Pelodiscus sinensis: one gene and its partners. The main gene of each other region encodes a partner of the protein of the gene in region 2 in a complex. Links are inferred from orthologs where the notes say so. Each region holds a gene or a part of one and is shown on either strand. Other genes may lie near its edges.

Region 1 (8,135 bases), on a different chromosome or scaffold from region 2:
TGCTAGAAATTTCTATCATTAAAATTGTTTACATCAAAACAAAGGAAACATGCACATTGTTTTATTTACTGTGAAATTTCTATGTATGTATAAACAAATTTCCTCAAGATGTGTAAATAGTGGAATGCAGTGCCTATTGCAGCTGCACAGGAGGGCTTCAGGGAAAAAAGTTTGGGATTCCCTAAGGTAGTCAACCTGACCTATGGTTTGAAGAATATTTTGCCCTTCTGAGGCATGAGTAAGCCAGCTGGAAGACTTAGATTTACTACAATACTCCGGCCTTTGATACCTAGGATACCTCCACATTTCATCACAGCCAGAGAAGGGAACATCTTGGCCCCACAGGGACCACTGGTTCTATTATTCCCACTCCCTCATTGCAGGCCCTGCTAGAACTGGGGAAGAAGTCAGTCCTGCTTCTTCCCTGGATTAGGAGGCCTTGATTCTGGGGGCGGGGGGGAAGGGGGCTTAGTTGATTTGCTGTTTACTTGGGCCTTATCTTTACTTACCAAGAGGTTGACTGCAGATATTGATCGCCTGGGAGTCAATTTAGGGCAGGGGTGGGGAACCTTGGGTCCTTCTGATGATCCATTTCATTAGGGTTAATTGCTGGCAGCCTGCAAGGTGGTTAGTTTACTGAGTGTCTGCAGGCATAGAGCCCTGCAGCAATCAGTTGATGTGATTCAATGTTCCTGGCCAATGGGAGGTGTGGGAAGTGGTGGCCTGGCTTGCAGGTGTAGTAAGGACATGCTAAATCGACCACTGATCATGCTCCTGTTGACTCCAATACTCCACTGGGTCATGAGAAGTAAGGGAAGTTGAGAGAGTTTTTCCTGTTGACTCTCCTCAGTGGGGATGCTGTGGTAAGTCAAATTAAAGTACGTTGACTCCAGCAATGCTGTTCACAGAGATGGAATTGCATACTTTAGTTTGACTTTGCCCACTAGTGTAGACCTGGCCTTAGGCTCTACAGGTTTTGCCCTGGGGCAGTGGCTACTGCTGCTCTTCCTTTTCAATTTGGTGAGTTACTAACTGGCTGGAAAACTGGCTGGAAAACTGTCCTGCACTACTTGTGTTGGAAAGAGGAGCTGGGGTTGCTGTGGGGGAGTTCCCAGATGGCAGGAGGATGAGACTAGGGCTATTTTGGATTGGGACTTCTGAAGAATGTGCCTCTTTCCCCTCCCTCCATCTTGCCCCCCATGTTTAGCACTTAGCATCAGGGCAGGGAAGTGCCACTTCAAGGGCCTATGTATCTATTGTCCAGGAGCCCCTTGAAGCTACTTAGGGTCTCCTGCCCTGGAGCTGAGTGCACTGTGGGAAAGGAGAACATTGGGACTAGGTAGTGGACAGAACCAGGTGGAGGGAGAAGAAAGGCAGTGAATAGTTTCTTTGAAGGTGTGGCTTCTGCCCATGGCACCATGAGCTTCATGAAAGTACTGTCCATTGGGCCATTTGCCCCTTTCTCCCATTGTTTTGCAGAAGGCTCCTGTGATATGAAGGAGTGGCCCTAATCACCCTTTGTTTTCTTCTGATCCTTCCAGTAAGAGCAGTGCTAGGCATGCTAAGCACTGTATAAACACATTTGTCAGACAATCTTTGCCCCCCAAAATTATTTAATTTTATGATTATTAACTTATACTAGCAGTCGCTAAGGTCTTGGGTCAGCAAAAGTGCTATAACATAGTGGGCTACGTCTAGACTGGCATGATTTTCTGCAAATGCTTTTAACGGAAAAGTTTTCCATTAAAAGCATTTGCGGAAAAGAGCGTCTAGATTGGCATGGACCCTTTTCCGCAAAAGCACTTTTTGCGGAAAAGCGTTCATGCCACTCTAGATGCGTTTTTGCGCAAAAAAGCCCCAATCGCTATTTTCACGATGGGGGTTTTTTGTGCAAAACAAATTTGAGCTGTCTACATTGGCCCTTTTGCGCAAAAGGACTTTTGCCCGAACAGGAGCAGCATAGTATTTCCGCAAGAAGCACTGATTTCTTACATGAGATGGTCAGTGTTCTTGCGGAAATTCAAGTGGCCAGTGTAGACAGCTGGCAAGCCAATGTTGTTTCTCCAACAATCTATGCAGCTATCCCTCAAAAATACTGAGTCTTCATAGTGGATGCAAGATTTTGTCTCCTGCAGATTGCTGCTCCCTACTGTTGAGTTTTCATTCCTGGGTTGAAACAGTCCCAGTTCTCTTGTAGGTTTGTAAGCAACTATGCAAAGAATTTAACTAGTAGCTTCTGTCACTTTCCCTTTAGGTTCTTGGATTTGGCTTTACCCTGTAGCCTGCATGCTGAGACTGGCCTGATCATGGTCAAACTGTAATTTACTCATACAAAAAAGCAAAATGCTTTTGCAACCTCCCTCCCCAAGATGGAGGAAGGAAAAACAGGATCTCTGGATCTAGATGTGGAGCACATACACCTGTCAGTGTGTCCCACCATCCTAGCTGGGGAAAGCACAGATGATCAGTTTCTCCTTGGAGACTAGTGTAGAAATGTTAGTAAGTTTTTCTCCTTGTTCAGAAGTCTGTTTGTGCAAATAGTAAATGAGCCCCTATAAGTGTTTGTGTGTGAGTGGATTTTGGAAGTGTAAAGACTTGGGGGTAGGGTGGAGCTGGGTGGATGGGGGTTGAAGACAGAGATTGTGAATAATTTAGAAAGAAGAAAGGGCAATTGGGAAAGAGGAACTGATGCAGGGTAGGAGAAGGGAGAGGACACTGCTCTGCAAAAGGGATGGGGAGGTGCATAAGTCTCTGAATGTTGATATCCAAGTTAGAAAATGTTGATGTAGAGAGTTTTTATTTCAACTTGATTTTATACCTGTGCACAACATACTTAAGCTGTGATGAGAACTCCTGTAGGGTTTCCACTCTTTCTGTGGAACCTGCTAACAGACAAGGAACAACTCTTTTCCACTGTCCCACACAGCTCTCTCTTGCTTGGCTTCTTGTCCCATTATCTTCACATCATTCCCAGCTTGTTCTAGCCTAACCTTTATTATAGGCAATGCCAGTAAATTATTTTAGTAACATTCTTTCTGTCTGGATTTTTCCATGTCTTCCACACCTGATTTAATTTTTTTTCCTATTGCTCTCTTGATTTTCTTTCAGCAGTTTGGAAGGGCTGCTTTTTATTGACTCCTGCCGTGTGTCCATTGTTTCTCTGATGTCTGAAGGCTGTGACCATGAAGGACTTTGCCCATTTTGTTTTAATAGGGCATCTCATGGTCTTTCAGCCTCATCTAAACAGTGTTCTGAGCCAAAGCTGAGGATAGCCTAGTTGGAATTCTGGCTCTCTTGTACCTCCTGAGATGAGCCTTAGGGATAATTTGGGGCTTAGTTTTGGGATCCAACTACATTATTCACCACTTCAATTATCTTTGTCAATGTTGTAGAGAATCCCTCCCAAAGTTAATTCAGTTTTAGGGCTCCTACCAAGACTGTGGAATCTATTAGGTCCTCCCAAAAATGTTTTCCCATATGAACTGTTTGTTAAAGTTTTTTAATTTTCAAATGCTTTCAGATTTTCCCAAGGAAATGTGGGCATTTTCAGTTTGGGGCTGTGGAATATCTCTATAGTTCAAGTGATACAAATTTCTTTGTTCCTTCCCAGAAACTCTGCAGAAGATGTTTCCCGGGGTCTTCAGTTTATCATAATATGAAGTGAATTGGGATATATTTTGTACTTTCATTGACTGCTATTTTATAGGCTGTCAAAAGAATATATGCTTGGTTATGGCCAATTTGATACTTTTCTAAAAAGATAGTTTGCTTAATCCTTTTTGGCCTATTCCACCTTCTCCCATAAGATGTGAGTCTTATGAATCCCAGAATTTCATAAAACTGTTGTAATACTTTTGATTCTAAATTTCCCCCTTCATCTGTTTGCTGATTACCTGGAACTACAAATCTGGTGAAGAATTTGGTCACTAAAACCTCCATAGCTAGCCCAGCCTTTTTGTTTGTTACTTATTTAGATTCAGGCTACTGTGTAAAGTATAGCAATCCATCTCCCATATTGGAGAGAGAAACAAATGAAATTAATGACTGTCAGAAATGATTGATTCTTTCACAAGTCAATGAAGGCAATTTGTAGGGCAATATCTTCTCTATAAAGCTAGCTGGAATGATATTTTTATATTTTACACCCTATTTCACATATTTGTAAGTATAATGGACCAGAGCAATCGTGGATATAAATCAGAATCACTTCATTGGCTTGTTTTAAGCACCTCTTTGACACTTTTTGGTTTGTTTTTATTACAATTTATATAACTTGCGTGACTACATTTTTACTACACCTTACAGGTCTGGCTTCACCTAGAAATAGTGCTGACTCTTGTGTGTCACTTGTAAAGGACTTATTTCCGTTAGTACATCATGTGCCTTTCCGTGGTCCTTGCTCTGCCCGGCACCACCCATAACTCCGCCCCTCCCTTTGCACTGTGGCGGGTTTTATAACACCAACCAGAATCTAGCCCCCAAATAATTGGTTTATGAGCCAAGGCTGTTAGGGTCTAGTAGCAGACGTGACTCCTTTCCCACGTGTTCGGAAGCCTACCACAGAGAGGTCGGGCGCTCAATAAATCATGACCAAGCCTTGAAAATCGCAAGATCTAAAGGACGATACGGGGGGGCTGTCCTGCTTATTTGCCTTCAGGATTTTCTCTGCAACCTGTGAGGGGGTTTTTGCTCAATGCCCGCTGCGATCAGCTTCAGGAAAACCACGCAGAGCCTGAGCCGGGCTCGGTCTCCAACTACCTCCTCCTCCCTGCCCCGCGCCAGCCTCTGCGCTCCCCGAAACTACACTTCCCATGTGCGTTCGAGGCAGGGAACGCTCCTGGGGAAAGTCGCGTCAGGATGACGCATCCCGAAGTGCGCGAGTTAGTGACGCGACGCGCCCGGGCGGGCGCTGTGTGGTTGGTCGGACGGGGAGGGGGGAGGGGTGCACGGACTCGGCCGCGGCGCGGGCGGGACGGAGCCGGCAGCAGCGAGCGCGTGAGGCCCCGGAGCCCGCGAGACAGGCCTCGCGGCGCGCGGCGGGGGCATCGCCATAGAGACAGTGACAGCACAGAGAGGAAGAGGGCGCGGGCGGCGCGGCCGGGCCGCGGGGGGAAAGAGGAGCGAGCGGGGGCCGGGCCCGCTCTGCGCCGGGGGGCCGGATCCCAGCATGGCCTCGGGCGGGGGCGGCGGCGGCGGCGGCGGGGGGAAGATCCGGACCCGGCGGTACCACCTGGGCGCCTCGAAGCCCTACCCGAGAAACAAGCAGGTGAGAGGATGGGCCGGGCCGCGCCGCTCTGCCAGGCCCAGGCGGGGGCTTTGACTCACAGCGGCCCGCGGGGTCTGGGAGCCGCCGGGCGGGGTGAAGCATCCCCGGGCTCTGCAGGCCCCACGTGGTGTGGGGCTGGGAGTGGGCAGCGGTGGGGCGAGTGGAGGATCGGGCCGGCGCGGGGCGCTGCGTGGCGGGAGGGCGCTGGGGGCGTGTGAGGAGCCGCGGCTCGGGGTGGAGGGACGAGTGAGGCTGGGGGGGGGGGGGTTCCTGCGAGGCGGGATGTGCGTGTGTGTGGGAGGGGGCTTTTCCCCGGGGCTGGGGGTGTGTGTCCATGTGCGGGGGTTTCCTCTCGGGCAGCGGGGAGGAGTTTGAGGGATTTCCCTTGGGAGCGCGCGCGGGGTGTGTGCGTGTGTGGATGTTTTAGGGATTTCCTGCCTTTTTTTTTGGTGAAGCTGGGAGGGGTCACGGGAGGGAAGAGGAAACGTGTTTAGCAGTTGGTGCCATGTGTGAATTCACCCCGTCTCAATTTGCCTCAGACAGTTTTGTCGGTGTGGGTGGGGGGGAAATAAAAGCACTGGAAGGAAAAATCTGGAGTTCGTTTCCTGTCACACAGACGAGCGGGTGTAGGCTGCAGACTTTCCCAAGATGTAAACTTTTTGATGCCCACCCTGTTATACTTCTTAGCCTTTGGGGTGATATAGCTACGCTCTTTTTCTATACTACCCAATTTACTACAACTTACTGGTTGCTTTCTGGCTCAGATTGCCAAAAGGTATTTATACATCAGCAGGAATAATTTGGGTTTACTGTGGGATAAACTTTATACACAATCAGGGCAAACTACTAGATGACATTAGCTTAAATAGGTATTTAGTTATAATGCAGTGAATTTTGATATTTGAATGTCTTCAAAATCAAACTAGCCAATTCTTTCATCTACAAATTTCAAAATATCTTACAAGCCACTTTGTAGGGGCAGTATGTGGTTATTTGTCCTTCTTACAAGCCACTTTGTAGGGGTAGTGTGTGGTTATTTGTCCTTGTGATCATTTCAGTAGGCTACAAGTTCATAAGCTTCAACCCCTCACTATAAATTTTTCTAGTACTGCCATTCCATATATCTCTGTTGTTAGCACATTGTGGGTGGTAATAATATTAAAAACTATTTTAATTGGTTTTCCAAGTCTTGCTGAAATGGTGGCTAAAGAACACAACTTGTTTATATATTACAGCACTTTGTATTAGTGGGAATTTTTCGGCAAACAAAAATCCAGAAACTAGGTGGGATTGGTTGAGGACAGGCAAAATAGGTCTTTCATTATTATTGTGTTTGCTCCTAGGTGTTTTAAGGTACTTGTATATTTATCTATTGTACAGATCTTATCTGTGTAGGTATATATGTATTTATACATGAATGCAAAAACTAGGTTAATACATTATTTAACAAGTAATCTGAAAAGCTAGGAAGTTCAGTTATGTTCTGTTTTCATATACAGTGAAGAGCTATATTACATAAATTTCATAAGCTGCTATTTCTTAAAATAATAGAAAGGAATTATTATTTTAAAAAAATTAAGTATACATGTACAATTGCATAACACTGTTATGCACCTGTCCCTGAAGCTCTAGGACAGGGGTTCTCAATCTTTTCGTTTCTGAGGCCTCCCCCCAAATATGCTGTATAAACTCTACAGCCTACCTATGTCACAACAATTGTGTGGGTTCTATTTCATATAAAAGCTAGGGCTGTTATTTGGGGGGTAGCAACCAGGGCAGTTGCCCAGAGCCTCATGTGATGGGGCCTGCGAAGCTAAGCTGTTCAAGTTTCATGTTAATGTTTGGGTGGTGGGGCTTGGGTGGTTGGGTTTTAGCTTTTTGTCCCTGGACCCAGTGAGTTTAATGATTGCCCTGCTTGGCGGAGCCCTTCAAACCTGCTTCTGTCCCTTCAAGGAGCTTTGGACCTCTGGTTGAGGACTACTGCTTTAGTAATTTAATGACATCTAAACAGGAAAATGAATTTCTTCATGTCTAAGTATAGTATTGAATAGGGATGTTCAATGGTTAAGTGATAAGAATGAGGCTTAATGGTATGCTTATTAGTTAACCAGCCTTTGCCAATTAATTTCAGCGATAGCCGCGTCAGACTGGAACATCCTTGGCCCTGGAGGGGGCTAGTAGGCAAGGTGGTGGGATTCCACCGTCATAGTGGGACCTCACAGTGGGGTCAGGAGTTGGGACTGAGGATAAAACCATTAACTGGTTAAGTGTTATCTTGTAATCTGTTAACTGTTTTAACTTCCTTAGTATTGAAGCATTTATGTAAAAGCTAGCAAGTACTGAAATAGCAAGTGATGTATATGCTAATCACAGCTAATTGTCTAATTTCCTCGGTGCTTGATTTCACACCTATTTTTGTCCTCACAGTTGGTGACAAGTAGGGATATAATGTTAAAAGGAGGATAACTGGGTTATTGCTAAAAACCTCAGTGGTTAAACGCACCCACAGTGGCAGTCAGCTCCCCAGGAGCCAGTGTACTCCAGTAGCTGGCTTTTAAACTGGTTTCTGGCTGCTGTCCTGCCGCTTCTGGTGCTCACTGGCTCCTGTCTGCTACCCTGTACTGCTGCCTTTGATACAGAGGCAGCAGTATGGGGCGACAGCCGGCCCCTCAGGTGTAGAACGGGTGCCTGAGTGTAACTGAATGTTAACCAGTAAGCTCAGGCTTATCAGTAAGTTGTTTACATGGTTACATGTTTACATCCTTAGTGACCACAAAAAGTTGTATTAGTGGAGATCTGCTACTTGGACATAACTTTGTTAGTGTTTTCAGTTATTAAACATGCTTAGTAAACTTTATCAATATGTAGG
Region 2 (8,124 bases):
TGATGGGATAATGAAAAAAATCCACCAGCAGGCGGAGTAAGAGTGAATATCGCTTTAAAAAAGGAATCATGGTAAATAAAATAAAAAAGATAAAATGAAAGTTTCAGAGAAAAATGTAAAACCAGAAGAGGTGAAAGATGCAGAGAAGAGAGGAAGAAATAAATAAAGAACACTGGTGAAAGTCTAAAAAAGTGGATAAAGACTAGGGATATTAAATTGCGAGTAACTGACTAATCGAATAGTTGATGCATTTTGCATCAACTAGTCAACAGGGCATCTCCGCCTTTGAAGTGTAACAGCCCTAGGCATCATGCTCCTCCCAGCATTTCAAAGCAGCAGCGCCCCTTGGAGCCCGGGGTCAGCTGGGGACTACCCTGCTAACCTTGGGCTCCACGCGGCGCTGCCATTTTGAAACACCGTGGTGAGCGCAGTGTCAGGCTTCATACAGCGTTTTAAAGTGGCAGTGCCACCTGAAGCCCCAGGGTCAGCAGGGGAGTCCCCAGCTGATCCCAGGCTACACAGAGTACTGCTGCTTTGAAATGCAGTGTGCAGCCTGGGGAAACCCCAGCTATCACTTTGAAGTACCCCCTTTTTATTCCTCCCCCTTGCTGCCTTTTTCTGATAGAGGCAGTGGGGGGAGAGGGATTAATCAACTAGCCTGTTGATTACCCGATAAGTATTTGCTTGTCCACTAGTTCTTCACATCCCCAGCAAAGACTGATAAAATAAACCAAATGTTTATTGACACAGCTAAGTTTCAATTTGTATATTTTGCTATGAACTTAATTTTACTTGGCTCTAGCAAAAACAAAGTAACCATACAACCCTTTTTATCTTTAAGACACCATAGGAGAATGGTTCAGAACATAACAGCCAAAAATCAAATGGTGGGCCACAGTCACAGTGGAAAAAAAAAAAAAAAAATCTACAAAAGATGTCAATCTTTGTTTAAAAGGATATTTAATCCAAAATCTTAACCCTTTTTGCAATTTGGGACTTCAGTTTGTCCTTGGATTAACTGTGTCTTTGTTTGACGAAGCTCCTTGGAGCATAGACCAAACAACGTATGTGCTCAAATGATAAAGTATCTACATGGTGAGGAAACTATAGTAACTGCTCTATCAAGGAAGTCAGACATAGAAATAGATGTTTTAGATATTATGAAGATTTGGACTTTTACATGCAAATTTGGTCCAGCCATCAGCTTACTGACAAGCCTCTAGCAAGGGCACCAACTGTAAAGGGCCAAGTACTTTTCCTTCCAAGAACATATTTAACTATGCTAACAAAACCAATCAAAGATCCTATCATATTTCTAGTAGAAGTCCAAGTAACTGAAATACTGACATGAGCTCTGGAATATTTACATTTTAACACCGCCTCTTCATAAAACAATTGTATTATGTATCACTTCCTATGTTCACAACTAGAAAATACCCGTGTCAGCTACAGCAATTGCCCATGAGAGTGCACGACAACAGACAACTAAAAATATGTTGAGTCTCTTCAATGCAATTTAAGAACTGGTAACAAGAAAAAAAAAAAAAAAAAAAAGGTACATTATCAGCCAGAACTCTGCTAGCCACCAACGAACAACCTGAGGAAAGCTGGAGAACCACTGAATTAACAAGTCATCACCCATCATCATGGTTTGGCTTCGCGAACGAAGATCTAGGAAGGAAATCCATGTAACTCCTCAGCTTTCTCAAATCATCCAGAAAAGAGGAAGTTTAGCCTCCCAGTGTTACAGCACAAAGATATTTTTGAACAAAAGCATGCATTTTTTATCCTTTAATAAGACATATTTAGTTTTTAATCTTTCATAAATATTATATTATTGAACAAATGTGTCTGGAAATTTGTAAAGGTCTGGTGAGTCACATTTCTTTACAATTTCAAAAGGAGAGTTAATTGTTGTCCCTTCTTAATTTTACAATACAGGACAAAAAGAATTTTATGTAACTATTTTCCATTACTTATTTTGTGAACTTGACTGTACAGTTAGATGCATTACCCATGTAAAAATCAGCATCCCCTGTTTGTGTGGGTCTTCCACACAGTGAACAGGATAAAACATTTTAAAAAGTTTTGTTCATGGTAACAAAAAAAACCTCATAGGTGTAACTGTTAAATTTGGTAGATTTGTTGATTGGACAGCTGACAATCTAGAGAGTGTCTTCTGAGATTTGCAGAGAAATAGTTGGTAACATAAAACTAGTAATAATTTTCATTGCTGAACTGCATTCCAGGATACCTTCTTAGCTAACTCCATGTAAACAGTTGTGGTACTTGCCATGCATACCCATCAACAAGCAAGGAAGTAACTCAGCCACTTTTTATGAAAACATGATTGAAGTTTCATGAAAAAAAGAATGAGTCCACAAATTACTATCCCATAAATTAGTAACTCTGAAAACTAGATATCATGCTCTTTTTAAAAAAAGCAATACCAATGTTTATCACACACATCAATTATGCACCATTTCTTTGTTGACTTAAATCCTTTGCTTAGCAGAAGTATCAGGCCAAACTTTCCTGCACTATCCCACTGCTGTTCCTCAACTCATCATGACCATGGGGGAAGGTGTAAAGGAGGGATGGCTTGCCTGGACTTGGCCCCCAGGATCAGGACTCCCCCCCCCCCAGCATTAGGGAGCCCAGACGGACACTCCAGCCACCCCCCAACCTTCCTGCTGGCCCACAGCACATAAAACCTACTAGCCTGGGCTCCACTAGCTACGGTGTGGGAGGGGAATGCAGGGAGTGTCTTTCTCCTTCTCAACTGGGGGGAGGAGGTAGGGTTTCACATCAGTGATGATTGGGGTTTTTTCCCTTCACTTGCGCATGGCCCCTGACTGATTTTCCTGTGGGTCAGCAGCCCCGGACCCAAAAAAGGTTCCCCACCTCTGAAGGCTGAAAGAAACGCCCCCAGCCAACGACAGCTCAAGTTCCTTCCCGTTAGTACAAGACTCAGGAACCCCGGCTGCTACAAGCGCCTCCCAGCCTTGGCTCCAGCCCCGCCCCCAGGCAAACCTCCGGCGCAGGACAGCTCTGGCCGCGGATCCCTCCGCCCCCCGGCCAGGTCAGGGCCCGCCCGGGTTAGCAGCCGGCCCCGCCCACGCGGAACGAGGCCAGCCCGGCTGCCGGGGCAGGGACGTTGAACGCCTGCGGGCCCGTGACTCGCCTCCCCGGAGCGGGCGGGAAGCTGCTCTGCGGGGCCCCGCGGGGAAGGGGCCAGGACACGCGGCCGCTCCGGCCGAGACCAGCCCCCGCTCGCCAACGGGCACCAGCACGCGCCCCCCGCGCTCTGGGCGAACAAACCGCCGCGCCCGCGGCCCCGCAGGCGGGCGGAGACTGGGGAGCGGGCGGCCCCACTCACCTCTCTGGGGGAGGGGGCGGCGGCCTGCACGGAGGCGATGTACCGCTCCACCTCGGCCTTGCTGCGCCTCATGGCCGCGGCGCGCGCCGACTAAGCGAAACCGAAACGCCGCCTCGAGCCCCGCCACCCCGGCTCGCGCCGCGCCGGGCAGACGGGAGACTGAGCTTGGCTGGTGGGGGGGGGTGGGGAGGAAAGTCTAGGTACGTTCGCGCGCCTCCTCAAGGTGCGTAACGCGGCGGTGCGTGTGCGTCGTCCTCCCTTGCGGAAGCGGAAATGACGTATGTCGGCTGAGCTGCCCTCCCCAACTCGGCAGTCTGATTCAGTCCCTTTTTCCGCCTGGGGTCGGGGCTTCCCGGCGCGTTCCTTGCTCCGTCGCAGCCCCTGGGCCGCGAGCCAATCACAACTAGCGGAGGGCGGGCCGGCTGCGCGCGCACGGAAGGACAACCTGGCACCTCAGGTTGCGGGGCAGGTCCGCGCGGGGCGCCCGTGGCCGCTGAGGGCAGGACGCGGGGCGGGAACGGGGCTCGCTGCCGCAAGGCGGGTGCGGGCGGGGAAACGTTGAGCATTGAGGACAGTCGGACTGTGCAGGGGGGGCGTGGCGGCTCCATGGGAGGTTTGTAAAACCAGGTGGACAGACGCCCGGGCAGGGAGGCTGTAGGGCGGGGGTCGTGCACATAACACCCCTCTTCCCCGCCCAGCGCTGCGCCTTTCTGTCACCGCCCTACCTTCGCCCCCATTACACTCAATACATGAACTCAGAGGTGAGGGCTCCCAAACACTGCTGCCAGCCTCTCCTCTACCCTCCCTCCTGGCCAGACACCCTGCCCCAAGTCCCCTCCTGCATCCTCCCTTCTGGCCGGAGACCCTACCCCCAGCCTGTCTGTGCACCCTACTTCCCACCCTCTCCCCCTTCTGCACCCTAAGAGTACAGGGTAGCGCTCATGAACTTTGTGTCTCAAAAGCATGTTTGTGCAGATCAGCTTTCCTAATCATTTTTTATTTCTGTGATGGCATGTGTTGTATTACACTGATCATCTTCAGTTAATACTCTTCTGATATTAGAATTTATATCTAGTAGGATTAAGCCTCAGAACAAGCCTACTGATGGACTACCTGGAACCATTATTATGTGTTTATCATGAATTGAAGCTACTTCAGAAACTGTGTCACAATGTTTCATTCTGTATAGCACCCTGATCAGCAAAACTGTGCTTTTAATTCTTCCTCAACTACCGAGTATGTCCAGGGTAGGAATGTAAAATCCTGCTTAATCAGTTTAACCAGTTAAATGTTAACAGGATCCTGAGGGCAGGAGTAAATAAAACAAGATGGAACTTAAAGGAAAGGGGCATTCTTCAGCAGCCAGTGACTGACAGGTCTGGTGCTGTCACTAAGCAACCCACATGCAACCCATTGTAATTGATCGGTAGATCTTAGCAGGTTAAAAACTGACTAGAACTAAATTGCAAGTAAGAGTAAGTTATGTACATATAACAGTTACACAGCACTGCTGCCACACAAGTGTCCTTAGACTTTTTTCCTGATAGAACTCATTAAGTGTATGGCTTTATCATATTTTTCAATGTTCATTGCTTTGCATTTGTCCTCAGTGAAATTCACATGGGATCGTGCTAGCAATTCACTAGCTTTATTTGGGCTCTCTGAAGTTCCTTGGTCTCTTCTAGTGTTTGTTATAACAAGTAAGGAAGATAAACTTATTCTGCATAATTGTAATGTATTAAACACGACCTATGTACTAATGTGAAAATGTGTGATGAGTGGTTGTCTGTGTTGTATGGGGGTAGAGGGAGTGTGACAGAGGTAAATTTCAAAACTGGGTTATTTTAAATGTTTTTGTCTAGGAAAAGTTAGCAGGTATTTTATTCTGAACATTTCCTTTACAATTCAGTTATCCACTGAATTGTATCGACACATTTAAAGCCTAAATTAAAGTAGGATCTGTGTTGAGCGAAAAGTACAGTAAGGGAAATACACCCTAAACTATGGAGTCACTTCTGACAGTTCCATAATACAACAGAAACTGGACTGTATTCTGTGTAAAGAGAACAAATACAGGGTCCCTCACCACCAAACATCCCTTTAAGAACAAGTCAAACAGGTTATAATTGTGTAGTCTTTATTGATCACAGTGGGAAAGCTTAGCTTTTAAACCAAGAGATATATTTTCTTAAAAGATATGAAATGAAACTGTAGTTTGTAAAGCATAACCTATACAATCTATGTAGGCTGCTATATTAAATGAAAAAAAATGTTTTATTAATTTGCCATACTACTGCACCTTTATAAAGAAAGGGGGAAAAGCCCTAGATTCTTTATGACTATTAATGAATAATATAAGACTTAGAAGCATGTTATAGTGAATTCTCATCAATTTGGACCCAGTCCTTCAAGGCTGACATTTTAGGTGCTCAATTGTAGGTGCTCAGCACCTTCTAGCATAGACCATTTATACACACACTCACTGATGTATGACGTGAGAGTGAATTATTGTAGGTACTATTAAAAAATTAATTCAGCCAAGAAACAACAATGTATTTTTTAAAATTCAAGTGTTCTCAATATTTAAAGAAAACAAACGTCATACATCCTATAGAAGTGAAGTAGTTAAAGCATATTATGTTTTATAATACCTGGTATACATTTTCTGCATAAGAATATAAAATAAAAATAAAACTGTATATATATTTAATGCATCCTTTTTTGAATACTGTTGTGAAAGGTACAGAAAAATAAGGCACAAAATGTAAGTAAAATACAAATACACTCATATTACTGGATTATTTTAAATGGAACATAACAAAATTCCGGTAGTTCTGAATATGGATATTTCTTGCAACAGGAATATATTTTCTATATTTCCATTACAACTTTAAAATCTAATATACAAAAATTAATTATGTAATATTTATCTATTAAAGGCACTACACTTTTGCAGTGGTTGCACTTAGAAGTTTGACTTCAGAGGCATTTAAAATAAGGCTTCATAATGATTACTTGGATCTGAATCTAAAAATGAATAGTTCCATAAAAAGTGATGCTACATCATTTAAAGATTACATGCTGAATTCTATGCACAAGTATTACCCTTAACTTCAATGGCACTCTTTGTGTACAGAAAGCAAGGTTTATTTGTGAAGTCATTGCAGGAAATGCACAAGCAGATCTTAGGTCTCCACAGAATCTCACTGAAATATGTGGCTATAAAGCAGATTCAACTGCAGGACCAGAGCCGTAAAAGAGTTTACAATGAATTTGTATTTGCAGTTTAATATGCAAGTACAATATACAGATCAACAGATATGTATAAATGTATATATCCAATACAGAACTGAAGATATATTTTGCTTTTGTTAGTTACAAGTTATATAAAATGTAGAGAGGGTTTTTAGATGCATGTTTTGAGAGAGAAAAGAGGAAAGTACTTTAGTATGAAGCTAGTCATGCATCAAGGAAACTAATTTTCTTTGCTTGTGTATCGCAGATTGCAGCCTCAAAGAAAAATAAAATGAAAGTCAAGTAATATCTGTAATATTTTCTAATTTTTTTCCAGGAACAGGAGATTAGAAGGAGGCTTTACTTCCTCCCTAAAGTTTCAGCTAGTTTCTTCAATCTTTTCTTCAACTCCAGAGGAAACTTCTCATAGCATTTCTTGCAGACAGGCTTCATATCAAATTCAACAAATTTGTTCCTAAAAATGATAAAGGAAATATATTTAGTGGAAGAGATTTCAAAGAGTATGTGTAGCATACCATATTGACGTGGTATAAGCAGCAAAATGATGCTTTTTCAGTATGTTTGCTGAATATTAAAAAAAGCTCTAAGCTGATAAATGATATAGCAAATCAATAAATGTAGATGTATCCCTGAATCTATTTTTTAATGATACATACAACTATATTTGTTAGCAGTATCCAACTTTGTAATTGGGTGCCATCATGCAGGAAGTAAAACAAATTCAGAAGACTTCTGATTTTTTTTAAAACCGTGACAAGTTAACAGTACAGATGAATTTGCTTAAGCTGAGATTTGGGTTTTGAAAAACAGAGGACCAGTCACTGCACATAAAGTTAATATTTATGTGAAAGAGACATGAAAGTAAAAGGCTGAAGTGAAGGAAACAACCGTACAGGAAAACAAAAAGAGAACTTCTGACTACTGAGGAAAATTTTGTTTTATGCAATACTGTATATTGTGCAACCACTGAATTGTAAACCTAACATGAAAGATACAGACTACATTTTCAGATGTTTATGGAGACCCAGTGTTATGGACCTAGAAATAGATGTCCAATGTGGGTATAAGCAAGGGCAGCTGTGCAAAAGATGCTATGAATTTCCATACTACGTTCAAGCAGTGGATATATAGTTAAGTATCCTGTCTAACAGCTGCAAGTATGTGCTGTTTCTGTGGCAAGAGGAAGAATCCCTATAGAAGGCAATATGGATAAGTCTGCTTACAAGACAGGAAATGCCACTATATCAGCAAAACAATAAAATAGGAACTTCGGTCAAATGCACAGTAAACTGGAAAAACAAAAAAAAAAGTATTTCTTTCAAATGCAGTAATCTCAAGTTACTTAAAACTACATACTATATTTTCATATAGAAATTTAATTTTCAAGTTGACTGATATTTTAACAAGTCTTTCCAATATTTAAACAGTAAAACTCTTTGTTAATCAATTCATATTGGGCATGATTTTCTGATATGTCATGGGATTCCATA
Region 3 (7,629 bases), about 150 Mb from region 2:
AGGTTGTATTACTTTAGCTATATGGCTACGTCTACACTACATGCTTCTTGCGCAAGAAGTCTTTTGTGCAAGAGTTTTTGCACAAAAACTTCTTGCGTAAGAGCACGTCCACACCTCAAAGCAAATTTCAAAAGCGATGTGCTTTTGCACAAGAGAGCGTCCACACTGCATGGACGCTCTTGCGCAAGAAAGCTCTGATCGCCATTCATAGAATGGCCATCAAAGCACGTGTGCTTTTTCCCATCTGGAGCGTCTACACTTGCCTTCTTGTGTAATAGCTGTAGCGCTAAAAGCAGTTATGCCTCAGAAAAGGAGGTTTACCTACGGCAGAAAAAGCCCTCTGTTCTGCCGTTTAACTGCCTATTTAATTGTGAAGAGCTCATTTGAGGTTTGGATGCTCCTCAGGTTTTTGCGCAAAAACAGCTGTTTTTGTGCAAAAAACCTTGTAGTGTAGATGTAGCTTATCAGTATAGTTAAATAAGTACAACTTTCCTAGTGTAGACTGTGCCAGGATAGATGAAGTGGTACAATTTCCCTAATTTGAAGACTACAGAGATTATGCCAATATGCCTTATTTCCATACGTTAAAGGGAATAAGCTATACTGCTGTTAGGCATCACTGTACCAATTATATATTTAGCATGTGCATACTGGGCTACACATTAGTGTTGTCGGTGCCTACTGTGCTGGGATTCATTGAGCTGATGCTCCTGAAATTCAACTTGCTAGTTGCTTCATTAGTTTTCCTGACTACTGTAAGGTTCTGGCAGGTGTCGCAAGAAGAACACTTGAGTTGTACTGATATAACTATTTGGGGTAAAAATCACACCCACACACCAAGTTGAACTAGTATAGACAAGGCCAAACTATATGCTGTTCCCACTAGATTCATTCATCTAAAGAGCCCCTCTCGGACCCATTTTTCATTGCATCATGTTGTTGTTATCTAAGCTATTGACAGAGCAAGTTGTTGAATTATTTGGAAGTTTTAAATGGTAGATGTGTGGGAGTTACAGAGGATCTTCTCTTCCAATGGGATTTTTTAAAAATGCATACAATCTGGAAACATTTTAATGTCAAAAGAAACATGACAACCCTCCCTTCTGCCAAAATAAATCTTTCTCATTTTTGCTTTCTCCTTTATCTTTTTACTTTCAATGTCCACCCCTTCCCTCACACACTTTTTCCTACCTGAAATAAGACAGTTTGAATCTCCTGTCACTTCTGTCATTTCCTGACCTTTGAGTGGGCTAGATTCATAACTGACAAATGGCCAGGACCAGAATGAGAAAGAGTTTAGTGGTATAAAATGTCTTTCACTTAAATAAGCAAATTAGTTTCATGTGAGCAATAGCCAAAAGAAAATATATCCTTTTCTCAAATATCTACCCTTCAAACTCTGTGAGAAGAAATCTTTCTGGCAGGATGGGTTTTCTCTTTCTTTCTTCCTTTCTTTTCCTTTGTTTCCATCTCTCCCTTTTTTGGTTGTATTAATCTCCAATGTAATTCCCTTTCTTCTGGCTTTTGTCTTTTTTCCTCCTTTGTCTCTCATTAATTCATCCTTCCTCTCAAGTGTCTCTGCTTTCTCTGAATTGCCTTTTTTCTTTCCCCACCTATCCAATTGTTTTTGTCCGCTCTACTTCTTCAGTATTTGCTGTCTGTTCTATATGGATATAGTTTGAAGGACATGATTTTGCAGGAAGAGTAACTTAATTTTAATAAAGTTCAAGTGTGAAAATGTTAAGTACTGGCCACTGACATGAATGTGTCTCTCGAAGGCATCTCTTATCTCTATGGGAATATACTGAAGAAAAGTTGCCATCAGTATAGTGACTGGGACAGGAAAGCCTTCCAAGAGATATTATTTTGAAACAGAAGGGCAGTAAATAGACCAAAGGGTGTGTCTGAAACTCTGGTGCGCTGGCCAGATACAATTCACCAGGGTTAGTCCCTGGCAAGCACCAGATGCTTCATTTGGCTGCTGTTTGTGGGAGGTGGTGCAGGCCAGGCCACCACTTTTTGTAGCTGTCATTTGTTGGAGACAGTAAACCGTGGCCAACAGGAGCTGTGAGTGGTCATCCCTGTGAATGCTCAGGTAAACAAAGTATCTGGCAGACCGCTAGGGGCTAGCCCAGATGAACTGCGTCTGGTCTGTGGGCTCCAGATTTCCCACCCCTGAAGTAGACAGTCTTCAGATGTATCACACTTGTTAAATATTAGTACACCTTCCTTAGTTCCAGATATATGTCTAACTGTTTTCTGTGCCTTTTCTTTATTTCTGACAGTTCTTTCCTCAACTTTCTTTTGATAATCTATTTTGCCACAATTTAGAAGTTCTTGGCTCCATGTTGAAGTGCACCGGCGGAGTGTCCACACAACCTTTTTGCACAAAAAGGTTTATTCCTCGTGGGGAGAGGAATAATTCTTGAGCAAAAAACCCTCTCTTATGACGATCTACTGTAAACTTTCTTGTGCAAGAACAGGCTTGTAGTGTGGAGGCTCCGCAAATTTTTCCACAAGAATGGGTGTTCTTGTGCAAGAAGCCTGCACTGTAGACATAGCCTGAGATGGGTAGGTTCCCTGGTGTTCAGGATTAGATGCTTTATTCCATAATCAAAGACCACAAGAAATAGGATTTCAAATCCAATTAACTTGCTTGTAGAATTGGTAAAAAACTTTAGATGTTTTAAAATTAAAATTTGGGTTTGTTTTTTGGTAAATGATTTTTTTTCCAGAAGAAAGGTCCCTTTTCATCACATTTAAAAAAATATTTTCCATTAAAATTTTTCCTGATTTTTAATGAACAGTTGCAGAAATTGAAGATATTCAGTTTTTGAAAACCTAAAATGTGATAATTGATTTATAGTTTTTAGTTGAAAAACTAAGAAATTTTCTACTGTCTCTGCATTAATTTCACTATTAAGGAATCACACTTTCCTTATAGCACACATTTGAGGAATATTTTTTTCACAGTGATGGCTATAAAGAAAGGGATATAATGGAAGACACTTTGTTCATCAGAATCTGACAAAGGAAGGCAGGAAAAATGGAGAGGGATAAAACATATATATTATGTTAATTATGGGAGATAGGAGTTATGAAACAGAATCTGATTAGAGAGACAAGATAGGTGAGGTAATATCTTTTTTTGGACCTACTTCAGCCCTGAAGAAGAGCTCCACTAGGAAGCTTGTCTTTCTCACTAACAGAAATTGGTCCAAAAATAGGTATTAGCTCATTCACTTTGTATCTGTAATATCCTGGGAACTACACAGTTACAACAGTACTGCATGCATAGAATCTGATTGCCTCATAAAAAAGTCCATTTGTGGTCACATGTACATGTGCCTAGTTTTATTAGTGAGTAGGCCCACTGAAAAATATTTTAATAAAATTAAAACACAGCAATACAAAGACCATTAATACAAATATATATAATATGAAGGAACCAAGCACAGTAACATTTCCAAATGACTTTTACTATTAAACCTATAATTATTATAACTCACACTCATACCACAATATAAATTAAATTGCATGATGTCATTATTTGTTTTTATTACAATTGTGTCATTTTTGTAAACATGTTTTCTTTGGTTTCCAGTCGCTAAACTAGTAGTCTGGAGACTTGAGGTCAGTTTCTCTGTAGGATATTGATCTATAATATTGATTGATGCAACATTGTGTAAATCAGCCTGCCCTGTCTGTTTTCTCACTTGAAAAGTGTTTTGAGATAATTACATGAAATGTGCAATCTGTTATTTTTACACTGCACTCCAGGTGTTTATTAAAAACAATTTTCTGAAAAAGTTATAAAGGGTCCAAAATGGTTTAAAGTAGGAAAGGCTGGTCGCTGTGACTACTTAAATAGATTATATTAATATAATCTTTGGAAATCTAGTTTTTGAAACTAAGTATATATTTTGTAAACAGGATAGCAAAATAACATTATTTCCCATTCTAGGGTGGGTTGAGCAGATTTTGTCCCCTGGAGTGGTCCTGGTGCTTGTGAATTTTTTCTTGGTTGTGCAAACATGATAATGGGATGTGGTTTTGTGAGCAGAATAAAGCTTCTGCATATCCATCCATCTGGTTTCACTCTGGGTAAAGGGTATGGGAGCAGAGCTGGACTACCTGGGAACTTTAAAAGCTTCAGCGGTGGAAGCCAAGTTTATCTGTAACAGGAAAAACTAAAACCAAAAAACCAGCAAATAGACTAGTAGCACAGTAAAGACTAACCATCTACATATTTTGTTAGTTTTTAAGATGCTACTGTATCTGTTGTTTTTTTTCCTGGAAACTTTAGTTTAGTAGTTTGCGCCACTTCCCATAATCCATAAATGGACTACAATTCCCGGCATGCATTGCAGCCCACGAAGGCCCCCTCCCACAATTTTCCACAGGCAGCCCTGCCTGTTTCAAAGGGACCCAATACCAGGAGTGGGGTGTATAATTGATTAGTGTATTAGGGACCATCCCACTATGGATTTTAGGGGAAGCAGCGTGCCCTGTAGGCGGCGAGGAGAGCGGTATTTCTAGGCAGGCAGCGCTTCAAGCGCCTCCAACTCTTTCTGGGCTTCTCTGAGGCGGCGGCGGCGCCTGTTAGTTGCTTTCCAAGATGGCGGCGCTGTTGGCGGTAAATTCAGGTAAAAGGCTCCCGAGCGCGAGGCCGGTAACAGGGGGCGGCGCCGCGCCGGCTCGTGCGGCCCCTGTCCCCGCCCCGCCCCGCCCCGCCCGAGGGGAACGGCCGCGGGGGGAGAAGTGCAGCAGCAAGAGGAGGCGGCGGCGCGAGATCTGTGGCCCCCTCGGCTCCGGGCCCGCCCGTGTGTGCCTGGCTGGCAGAGACCGTGCGCCAGCCCCGCCCCGGGAAGCCTCCCACAAGAGCCGGGGTGCGGGGTCCTTTGCCTTTTAGTTTCTGAGCCCGGGGGGGGGGGGTCGAGGTCTAGGGCCGGGCCCCCACTGCTCTCTGCAGCCCCCGTGCCTGGCAACGCGTCTTCGGTCGAGCCAGGAACCCCCCCCCCCCCCCTCGGGTCTGGCATAATCGCAGGAGCAGGTGCTCCGAGGAGAAACACCCCAGGGGCCCCGCGTCGCCAGATCCCCTCCTGGCTGCTAGTGCTGCTGACAAGGGATGTGGAAGCGCAAACGTGTGTGCGATTAATGTGAATGGTTACACATAAGTGCCGCCCACGGCGCTGCTGCGTCTGTATCAAAGGGAGCAGTGCAGGGGGCGGGTGGGAGCCGATACGTGGGGAGCTACCTCCCCCCCCGCCCACGTGTAACTGCTGAAATTTTCATCAGTTTCACATTTACATGAATACACGCACCTTGTGTTCCCCATCTCTCATTTCTTGTCTCCCTCATGGATTGTCAAATGCTTGGTGCAGGGACTCTTGCAGAGTATCTGGTGCAATTGGGTCCTGGACAAAGACTAGATTTCCTAGTCACTACGGAAATATAAATGATAAAATTGTGAGACTTGGCAACCCAAGTAACGTGAGGGAGATAAAGTTTTAGGGGGCAGTTCTCACTGCCCTTTGGTGCCATTTGGGGTGTTCATGTCCTGCATGATGGGTGCAGGGACTTTCTCTTCAGCCCCTACATTATCAAAATCTGAACCCTAATCTTTTAGGAACAAAAGCTTCAGGCAGTAGCCGAGTTAGTCTGTACAGGATAAACTTAAAAAACAACAAATAGTCTGATAGCACTTTAAAAACTAACAAAACATGTAGGCTATGTCTACACTCACGGCTTTTTGTGTGGGAAATATGCAAATGAGGTTAAGCGTGGAATATTGCTGAGCCTCATTTGCATACCTAATAAGCTGCCATTTTAGCAGAAGATGCTCTTGCACCAGAAGGAGCTGACTACACTGCCCCTTCTTGCGCAAGAAAAACCCTCTTGTGCAATGCCGTTATTCCTGAAAAAAATCAGTTTAGCGGCGTTGCACAAACAGGTTTTTCTTGTGCAAGAAGGGGCAGTGTAGGCAGCTCCTTCTGGTGCAAGAGCCTCTTCTGCAAAAATGGCATCTCTTTAGGTATGCAAACGAGGCTCGGCGATATTCCACGCTTAGCCTTGTTTGCATATTTCTCATGCAAGAAGCCGTGAGTGTAGATAGCCGTAGACGGTATCATGAGCTTTTGTGGGCACAGCCCATTTCTTTAAGTTTATCCTTTTAGAAACAGTACTACTTTTAAATTGAAAATAGCTGAACTAGATTTAGCCCCTGTCCTACAAACATGTGATGCCACTAGTAATACTCTCTCACGTAAAATGAACCTTGTGCATGTTTTAAAGTTTGAGACTGTAGCATGTGGCTTATTCTTCATAAGGAAAAATCTTTGTTGTGGCTTGAAATAAACTACTAAAATGCATTGGAGAGTATGGGAGAGGATGATGGGATTGCAGCAGGGTCTAGAGGCACTCTTGGTAATGGAGTGCTGCATGCTTGTGAACATACACGCAAAACACTATCCTCAATCCAGCTAGGGGGAAGGAACAACATGCTGTGATTCCCACCAGGGTACTGTTTCTGGATCCTGCTAAGGAACTCCATGCTTAGCAAATAAATGGTGGAAATGCAGCCTACTATTTCTTGTCTCATCTTCTAGATGTTGTAGAGTGGAAAGCTGTTCACTCTCCAAAGGTTTTTTGTCCCCCCTCCCCCTTTTTTGAGCTTCCCTTTTTCCTTTCCCCAGTTTAATTTTTTATCTTCACAAATTTTAGTGGCTTCCTTCAGCTATCATGGCATGAAATAGATGCCTTGTCCACAATACTGGAGGACTGATGCTCCAGTGATCAATATTCTGTGGTTCGATTTAGCGGGTCTGTCAACCACAGTATTCCTTGCAGTGGTGAGGAGTAAGGGAAGTCGACGGGGGAGGTGCAGCAGGGGTAGGTCCCAGACCCAGCACAAGCTGGGGACTGAGCCAGGCTTGCTTAGTCCCAGCTCATGCTGGGTCTAGCAGCCCCTGTCCACAGGGGTCCCGGTGGGGAGCTGGGACCCCCCGCAAGCAGAGGCTGCTTTGTGGCAACCTCCCCTGCCCTCCCTCCACGCTGCTGCTTCTAATAACATATGCTTATTGAGTTGTTGAGTAGTGCCTCGACTAGTTGATTAGCTTATTAAACACAATTTAACATCCCTAATACAGAGGCAGCAAAGGGGGGCGGGGAAGCAAGCAGCCAAGTAGTTAACTCAAATACCCGATAAGCCTACACTTATCGGGTAGTCAACTACTTGCTTATATCCCTATTATCCGTGCCTTATCTCTTATCATGAGTTCACAATGAAAGAGTTAAACTTTTCTGCAATGAAGACACAGTTTTAGTTAAACCAGTGCAACTTATATACACATACATGTGCTCATAAATCAGTTTACATGATGCCTAGATTAATTTAGTTTAAGTTCAACAAGCGATTCACCCTAGCCAGCCAGCGAAAGTAGAGTGGAGAAATAGCAGAATAAAACTGACAATTCTGATGTTTCAATGTTTCTGAACAGTATTGGAAGCAGCAGCAAATTGAATAGAATCATATCTATTTCATGCCATGATAGCTGAAGGAAGCCACTAAAATTTGTGAAGATAAAAAATTAAACTGGGGAAAGGAAAAAGGGAAGCTCAAAAAAGAGT
Region 4 (8,422 bases), on a different chromosome or scaffold from region 2:
AGTCACAAATGCATGGATTGTCACAGCCAGGCCTGAACCAAATGGAATGTGGCATGAGTAGACTAATCAGCTATGTCACAGACATTCCAAATGCAGCTCCCTCCTTTGTAGAGTAATACAAAATATTAGCATACCAATTTTATTGCGATCGTCTCCTGCTTGATTCTGCATGAGAAGATTTTTAGTGTGAAAGATCTGCAGGCCAGTTGCTCCACCAGCAAAGACTAGCCCATATTTGTTTGAGATGGCAAGTAGACTGGAACGCTCTTTAGGGAGTTCTTCAGGAGCATCAAATATTCGGATCTTCTTCAACGCTCTGAATTGAAAATCCTGTCATAAAACAACAGAGTTAAAAAGCAATTGTAGGTGTCTATATGTGGAGTGGCGAAGGGAGTTAAAACTGATTTTCGCTTACATCCCAGAGAAACTGAATTCATTAAAAAGCACTTGCCCACTACCACATACACACAATCTCTCAATTGTTACTTCCCAAGTGGCTGACAAACCACAAGCTCCTGAAAATGATTTTGAAGAGTTTGCAGACCACATCAACAAAAATAATTACTTTAAAATTGCCTCAACGAAAAATAATTTGTTATAATCAGTTCCAGATTTTTTAAATATGTAGGAGAGAGATAAGGATATTTTCATAAATTATCTATTAATAGGTGGGCCATGGACCTCACTTAGCACTTTAATATTGGTGAAGTAAATAATGAAGAATAGGAAAGACTGTTATTAATCTCATGAAACACTATCACCACAATCTGAAACAGGTGCTTTTTGAAATCTCTCTCTGGGACGTCTAACTGAAGAAAGACTAAGACATTTATTTCTTCTTTATCTACTTTATAGCCAGAGCACCAAGTTATTTTCAAGCATCTTTTTAAAAGTATTTCTCTATCAGGTGGCCTAAAATGGACACTGTTCTTTTCACTGTTTCCAAAAATAAACTAGGAAGTCACCGTTTTAATTCCTGACAGGTATTTTTTTTTCAAAAGTCTGATAATCCATAATATACTTATCATTAATAGACAGCATTTGGAGAACATGTAGACTTCCCTAGAAAGTAGCAAAACATTTTCCACTTAAAAAAAAAAGAAAAAAAGACTGTGCATAATGACTAGTACAGTCATTACAGTGATCGCATAAGGGACAATGTTAACTTAAAAGTGGTATATGTATCTGAATATATTTTACCTGCTATTACAGTAATATACTTAAAACTTCCTACCTGCTCCTGTCCTGGACCTACACCGCTCCTGAAAGCAGCTGGCATGTACAGCAATGGCTCCATGTGCTGTCCTTCATCTATAGGCACTGAGCCCATAGCTTCTACTGGCCCCAGTTCCCCATTACAGGCAGTCCCCGGGTTACATGGATCTGACTTACATCGGATCCCTACTTACAAACGGGGTGAGGCAACCCCGCCCTAGCTGCTTCCCCCCAGCAGACCAGGGAGACGCGAAGCTAGCGCCCCCCCAGCAGACCATGGAGACGCGGAGCGGCTTTTCTCAGCAGACACCTCAGCTTGAGAATAAAGGACTGAGGGAAGTGAGGTGTGGGAGAATAAAACTGAGTTCTGGAGAAATGTTTGGCTAGAGTTTCCCCTACGATATGTACCAGTTCCGACTTACATACAAATTCAACTTAAGAACAAACCTACAGTCCCTATCTTGTACGTAACCCAGGGACTGTCTGTACTGATCAATGGGAGCTGCAGGATTGGTGTCTGCAGGCAAGGACAGAACGTGAAGATCCCCTGCTCTACCTTTCTCATGCACTGCAGGGACATGCCAGTCACTCCCAGGAGCAGCAGTTACCATAGGGATAATTACTCCAGCCATGACAGGTTAGGCATTTTAGAACTCACTACTCAAATAATTAAATTTAAGCATAAGAAAGAAATGAAAAGTATGAAATACACAAACCTGTCAAAAACCAAAAACAACATACTTTGCATGCAGTAAAAGAAGTAAAAACAACCCACATATGTGTTGAGTGGGGAGAGAGTGAAGGACAGTTTGTGTTTGTGAGTGACAGACACACACAGTGTTTTTTTTAAATTGTATCCTTTTTTTTTAAATTGTATCCTTTGGTATATATGGTTGTGACTATTTTCTTCCATTATTTGATCTGAGGAAGTGGGTCTGGCCCATGAAAGCTCATCATCTAATAAACCATCTTGTTAGTCTTTAAAGTGCTACATAGACCTGTATTTTGTTTCAGCTACACCAGACTAACACGGCTACATTTCTACCAGTGTGAGAGAGTGAGAGATTTGCATTGACAAGCTCACTCCATCTCTTCTCTGTGTAGAGATAGGATACAGAAGTGGGTGGGAGAAGGAACACCCTGACATCAGCATCCCCCCCCCCTCCCTCCCACATCCTGCACAGCAAGCAGGCGACTCCCAGGGGGCAGCTACAAGGCAGAGGGCATGAGCAGCATGATAGTGGGTGGAGGGGCAATTGAAGTGCCAGAGCGTGATAGCTTCCTGGCCAAACCAGTCAGGATCACCTGTCAAAGGCTCCAAGATCTACTTGTTTGGTGACCACTGCAGTACAAAAAGATTCCCCTCCTTCTTCCCCCTTCTCGAACGTTTACTTTGTGTATTTGACAATAGTTTGCATGTGATCACACCCCCTTGTTGTTTGCATAGAGTTTTGCATCACCAGAAACATAAGGGAAAAAAAGTGTGATTATAAATCACAAAAGCTTTAAGTTACATATAAACGCTGACTGCTTGCAATAAGAATTTAATGGTAACATCTTTACTATGCAGAAAACTTAAAATTCCTTTTGTGATTACAGTCTCACTCCCCAATTCAGACTCCCTTTTGTGTCGAGACCCCCTTTTGAAAAATGCTGGTCTCCCCTGTGAAATCTGTGTAGTACATTCTAAAAACACACAACACACCAGATTTCAAGGTCTGACATGTTTTTCATGGCCATGAATTTGGTAGGGCCCCAGTAACTGTGGCACCTAACATTCCACACCTAACAGCCTGATTTTTTGTAGTGATATGAGCACTCACTAGGATGACCAGACCTTCTATCCCAGCTCTGTCCCCCCGGCCCACAGCCCCTTCCCCCCCAATCCCGCTATCCCAGCTCCCGGCCCACAGCCCCTTCCCCCCCAATCCCGTTATCCCAGCTCAGTTCCCCCGACCCCCGGCCCACAGCCCCTTCCCCCCCAATCCCGCTATCCCAGCTCCATCCCCCCGGCCCCTTCCCCCTCAATCCCGCTATCCCAGCTCCCGGCCCACAGCCCCCTCCCCCTCAATCCCGCTATCCCAGCCCCGCCCCCCCGGCCCACAGCCCCTCCCCCCTCAATCCCGCTATCCCAGCTCCCGGCCCACAGCCCCGTCCCCCGGGACACCGCCCCCCCCACCCAGCTCGCTGACCCCCGAAACTCCCTCATACAACGCCTAGTGCCCCCAAGGCAGGGTACTCCCCCCGTGTCCCCTCAACCCCCCCGCCCATACCTTCATCTCCCGCTCGGGGACCACATCCATATCGTCCCCCATAGCTCCGGCTCAGCCCGTCGCCAACCGCCTGCGCAGGGCTCTGAGGAGCGTTTCCGCTTCCGGCGGCCATCAAGTCTACTCTAGCCGCAGCGCTCTATGGCAGCGCCGCTGGCTCGTGGAGGACCGAGGAAGACACTACGGTAAGACTGTAGGGCGGGGCCTAATGCCAGGGGGCGGGAGCTTTGACGAGGGGGCGTGGCCAAAGGAGGATGGGGCGTGGTAGCTCTTCAGGGCAGTGACTAGTTTGTATAGCACCTAATAGACGGGGGGGGGGGGGGGGCTGCCCCATCATTGGGGCTTCTAGGAGCAACATCAATAAGCAATTCAAACTTGGATCACAGTCAGCACTAGGACATGGATGTAGCTGAATTGTCAGTTTGTAATTTTTTTTTACCTTCTTTCCCTCTGTTATAAAATGGTCATGCCTGTTCACTTTCAGAATAGGATCTGAAGTGGGTCCACCCCACGAAAGCTCATCACCTAATAAACTATTTTGTTAGTCTTTAAAGTGCTACATGACTTTTTTTGTTTTGTTTTACCATGTATTTTCAGAGGCAGGATACAGTTGCCTATAGATGACAATGCTCCTAATAGCAGGAGTCCCCTCTAGTCATCCTACCAGGGATCCAGCCAGTCTGGAAGGCTACTGTTCCTGTTACCCAATTGGTCGTGTTATATTTGCTACACGGCAGTAAATCACCAACATCAACCTTGGGGCAAGCTAGTTATTCCAGTGCTGCCAACTCTCACATTACTTGGTGTTTCAGTTAAAGCCCCAGCTCCTGGAGTCATTATTACATGAGACTTTCAGGTTCTTTTAAAGAATAACAAGCAAATGTCCAACCCTCCTCGTTTTGGGGATGGAAGTGAGGTGTATCTGACCTAAGTGTAGCCTAAAGGCTCAGAAATTGGAAGGGCAGAAACCCCACAGATTTATGTTTTAAGAATTTCATGATTTTTAAGACACTCATGAGTTTGAAGTCTTGGTTTACCATATGCAATGATCAGTATGCACACAGCATACATAAACAGCAGTCAATGCTGCTGCCAGAGTAGTCTATCCTAACATAATTACCATGACAGTGTAGGGCTCTGCATTGTGGGGCTAGATCCACTTTCTGCATTTCAAAGAAAGGAATTCCACATTCCTTGTATGAATGGTCTCCAAGTGAAACATGAAAGTACTATAAATCTCATTTTAAAATATCAGTTTCTGGTTATAGAGAAGCCAGTTAATGTGGCTTCATGTTTACAATTGAACTGCTTAATTTCATTTCCTCCACTGCAGCATGTAACTAATACCCTTTGATGGCATTAGCAATTACTATTACTCTATAGTGGGATTATTAGACCCTTTAAACAAAGCTAAATAGCCACTGCCATTGTGTATGTCAGACTGGACAGGCATGCACACACCAACAAATGAAGGGCAAACAGCAGCATTACTCAAGCAATCCCATGAGACAGCTAGTCTATGAGGGTATGTCTACACTACCCCGCTAGTTCGAACTAGCAGGGTAATGTAGGCATACCGCAATTGCAAATGAAGCCCGGGATTTGAATTTCCCGGGCTTCATTTGCATAAGCGGGGCGCTGCCATTTTTAAATGCCCGCTCGTTCGAACCCCGTGCCACGAGGAGTAACGGTAGTTCAAACTAGGAAGCCTAGTTCGAACTACCTAGTTCGTGCCGCGTGTAGCCGCGCGGCACGGGGTTCGAATGAGCGGGGATTTAAAAATGGCGGCGCCCCGCTTATGCAAATGAAGCCCAGGAAATTCAAATCCCGGGCTTCATTTGCAATTGCGGTATGCCTACATTACCCCGCTAATTCGAACTAGCAGGGTAGTGTAGACATACCCAGAGAGAGCACCTGCCATTAGATCCCTGGAAAAGATAAAAATACTTGTATTTGTAATATCACTCAAATGGATATTCTAGAGCACGAGTAGGCAATTATTTTTTATGCGGGGGGGGGGCGCAATCCAAGATATTGGTAAGTGGTCAAGTGCTTCATTTTTCTGTGGAGATGTGGGGTCTTGGACAGAGGTTGGGTGCAGAAGGGAACTCAGTGTAAGAGACTGGGGTACAGAAGAGGGTCATAGAATCATAGAACCATAGAGCTGAAAGAGACCTCAGGAGGTCATCAAGTCCAGCCCCCTGCTCTAGGCAGGACCAATCCCAACTAGATCAACTGAGCCAGGGCTTTGTCAAGCCGAGACTTAAACACCTCTAGGGATGGAGACTCCACTACTTCCCTAGGTAACCCATTCCAGTGCTTCACCACTCTCCTAGTGAAATAGTTTTTCCTAATATCCAACCTAGATCTCCCCCCACTTGTAATTTGAGACCATTGTTCCTTGTTCTGCCATCTGTCACTACTGAGAACAGCCTCTCTCCATCCTCTTTGGAACCTCCATTCAGGAAGTTGAAGGCTGCTGTCAAATCCCCCCTCACTCTTCTCTTCTGCAGACTAAACAGACCCAACTCCCTCAGGTTCTCCTCATAGATCATATGCTCCAGCCCCCTAATCATTTTAGTGCTGGGTCTCAGAGGGAGTTTGGGTGAAGGAGAAGGTTGTGACTTGGGGTATAAGTGCAGGAAAGGATTCTGACCTGGAGGAATAGTGTGAGAGGGGGTGCAGGCTCTGGGAGGGAGTTGGGGTGCGAGAAAGGGGGGGTACCACAGACAGGCTCTGGGTGGGAGGCGCTTACCTAACCAGCTCCTGGCCAGCAGCACTCTCAGGCAGGCTCCCCAGCCTGCCAGCAGCCCCGGACCATCGAGAGTGGCTAGCTGTTCCATGTGGATCTCTGCACTTTATGGGGAGCAGGCGGGGGGGAGGCTGTGTGTGCTGCACTGCCCCCACCCCAGCACAATCTCTCAGTTCCCACAGGCTAGTTTAATGCAATTTATATTATCTGAAGTATGCAAGGATGTGTCACACAGTGAACGATACATTCTGACCTTGCACTGGCCCCAGTGAGGTGTATACATTCTTTAGGGAGGCTGCTAGCAAGGCCTCATCCACATTTCTGACTATGCTGGGGCAAAAGGGGTTTACCACTTGATTTGAGTGACAGGAAATCTACCTGTCATCCACTGGAATGATGAAGCGCAGTCCCACTTGTATAATTCTTTTTGGAAACTCACTGATGGTTTGGCCAATCCATTGTTAAAGTGAAGATGAAGAAGAAGAGTCTTGCTGCTTCTGCCAGACACATGTGCATGTCAAACAGTGACCCTGAAGTAAGCGAGCAGCCAGGAACCAGTGAATGCTTGATTTTAAAAACCCCTTCCTTTGCCCTGTTTGATTCAAACATTGAAGCCTTTGGCTGAAATGGTTTACAGCTATCTTATCCTGATGTAATTTAAGTGCCTATTCAGGGATTTGCACCCCTTTAACTAAAATGATTTGAAAACTAAGGCCACATCTATACTTACTGGTGGATCGATGCTCCAGAGGTTGATTTTCTGGTGTTCAATTTAGCAGGTCTAGTATAGATCCATAAATTGAGGACAGCTCCAGCCAGCACCTGTACTCCTTGCAACTGCAAGGAGTAAGGGAAGCTGACAGGAGCTCCACCTGTGTGGATGCAGAAACGCACTTTAAAATATGTCAACTCCAGCTACATAATTAACATAGCTGGAGTTGCGTATCTTAATTCAACCTCCTGCTGTAGTATAGACTAGGCCTAAGGTTTTAGATCACATGGAACAACTTGAGTTTAGACAGGGATATTGAGTAGCAGTATTAAATACACTGATGCCTCACATAAATGTCAGAAGATTTATTTTCAGTCTGTACAAATAGAGCTGTGCTGCTCTCATCCACAATCTCTCTCTCCATTACAATTCTAAATTCTCATACAAACAAGAACAGCAAGACACTTAAAAAGGGCAGCCTTTGGCAGGCACAATAAGACTAGTTAGAGTTCAAACAATAAATTGGGTATCTGTTTTTTTTTTTAATTTAAACCATGATTTAAAAACCACAAAGTTAAAAGCTGCCAAGGACAAACAAAAAACCCAGAGGGAGAGGGAAGAAACATGATAAGCAATTAAATCCCAGAGGCAAACAACTGGGTTCCAAGAGTTGTAAATACAGAGTACACAGCAGTGTCCAAAGCACAGTCCAGCTAAGTCTCAGTCCTGGGATCCTGGGGAGTCTTTCCCTACCCCCAAAAGGGAGAGACAAGATCCCTGGTTCCCATTAAAAAAAAAAAGGCAAAAAAAACCCCCCAACCCTTTCATGTGTTCCATTTTGTCACGGAATAGTCCCACTGAAGTCAAATGACTCCTCATATGAGTAAATTCAAGCATATAAGAAATATGTTTGTTGAACAAGGCCTAATTTGGGAGATTTTGAGGGCATTAATACAAACAGACTCATCCAGAATTCATTCTGGTCCAGCTTAAGGACTCAGACTGGAGTTCCGTTTCCTACACCTACAGATTCAGCATATCCCAGGCCTTTTCTGTGAAAATTGAAAGCAAAATAGCTGGGCTCATTCTCCCACCATCCCCAGAATTTCAGGTGCAAGATAACAGCTTTTGGAACTGGCCGTTAAAACAGGATTTAGTCTAGGGAAATTGACCAGATTGGTCACTGGAGAAGAGGGAGTCTGCAAGCTTCAGAAGCCAACCACTTATTCACATTACAAGGAAAACAAACCCAATATATTATGTAGTTTTCATTTTAACTATATAAATATAAGCAGACAATGAATTGACAGCTTCTACCACAGATGACAGAACAGAATAGTTTCTCTAGCTTCTAAAAAGGAGACCACAGTGGCAAGGACTTATTGATCCAAGAGGGACCCTCCAGGGGACTTTGCTGTCTGTCTTGCACCAGTCACAGGTGGAAGTTCTTTATCATCTTCCGGTTGGAGGCCT

What was found.
Region 1: E3 SUMO-protein ligase RanBP2 (region 2) and NUP153 share a complex: the UniProt entries of both Homo sapiens proteins name them as parts of the nuclear pore complex. The link is inferred for Pelodiscus sinensis from reciprocal best matches to the Homo sapiens genes RANBP2 and NUP153.
Region 3: E3 SUMO-protein ligase RanBP2 (region 2) and NUP205 share a complex: the UniProt entries of both Homo sapiens proteins name them as parts of the nuclear pore complex. The link is inferred for Pelodiscus sinensis from reciprocal best matches to the Homo sapiens genes RANBP2 and NUP205.
Region 4: E3 SUMO-protein ligase RanBP2 (region 2) and NUP214 share a complex: the UniProt entries of both Homo sapiens proteins name them as parts of the nuclear pore complex. The link is inferred for Pelodiscus sinensis from reciprocal best matches to the Homo sapiens genes RANBP2 and NUP214.

What each region holds. Positions count from the first base shown.
Region 1 is NC_134712.1:108,543,424-108,551,558, reverse strand, and holds the start of NUP153 (nuclear pore complex protein Nup153), read left to right. Parts: upstream 1-4,578; 5' UTR 4,579-4,693; coding exon 4,694-4,813; intron 4,814-4,941; exon of another isoform or gene 4,942-5,167; coding exon of another isoform or gene 5,168-5,266; intron 5,267-8,135. UniProt on the Homo sapiens protein: Component of the nuclear pore complex (NPC), a complex required for the trafficking across the nuclear envelope. Functions as a scaffolding element in the nuclear phase of the NPC essential for normal nucleocytoplasmic transport of proteins and mRNAs.
Region 2 is NC_134711.1:235,356,038-235,364,161, reverse strand, and holds the start of E3 SUMO-protein ligase RanBP2, read right to left. Parts: upstream 3,519-8,124; 5' UTR 3,452-3,518; coding exon 3,380-3,451; intron 1-3,379. UniProt on the Homo sapiens protein: E3 SUMO-protein ligase which facilitates SUMO1 and SUMO2 conjugation by UBE2I. Involved in transport factor (Ran-GTP, karyopherin)-mediated protein import via the F-G repeat-containing domain which acts as a docking site for substrates.
Region 3 is NC_134711.1:85,276,715-85,284,343, reverse strand, and holds the start of NUP205 (nuclear pore complex protein Nup205), read left to right. Parts: upstream 1-4,484; 5' UTR 4,485-4,618; coding exon 4,619-4,646; intron 4,647-7,629. UniProt on the Homo sapiens protein: Plays a role in the nuclear pore complex (NPC) assembly and/or maintenance. May anchor NUP62 and other nucleoporins, but not NUP153 and TPR, to the NPC.
Region 4 is NC_134732.1:14,188,298-14,196,719, reverse strand, and holds the start of NUP214 (nuclear pore complex protein Nup214), read right to left. Parts: upstream 3,645-8,422; 5' UTR 3,531-3,644; coding exon 3,489-3,530; intron 331-3,488; coding exon 135-330; intron 1-134. UniProt on the Homo sapiens protein: Part of the nuclear pore complex. Has a critical role in nucleocytoplasmic transport.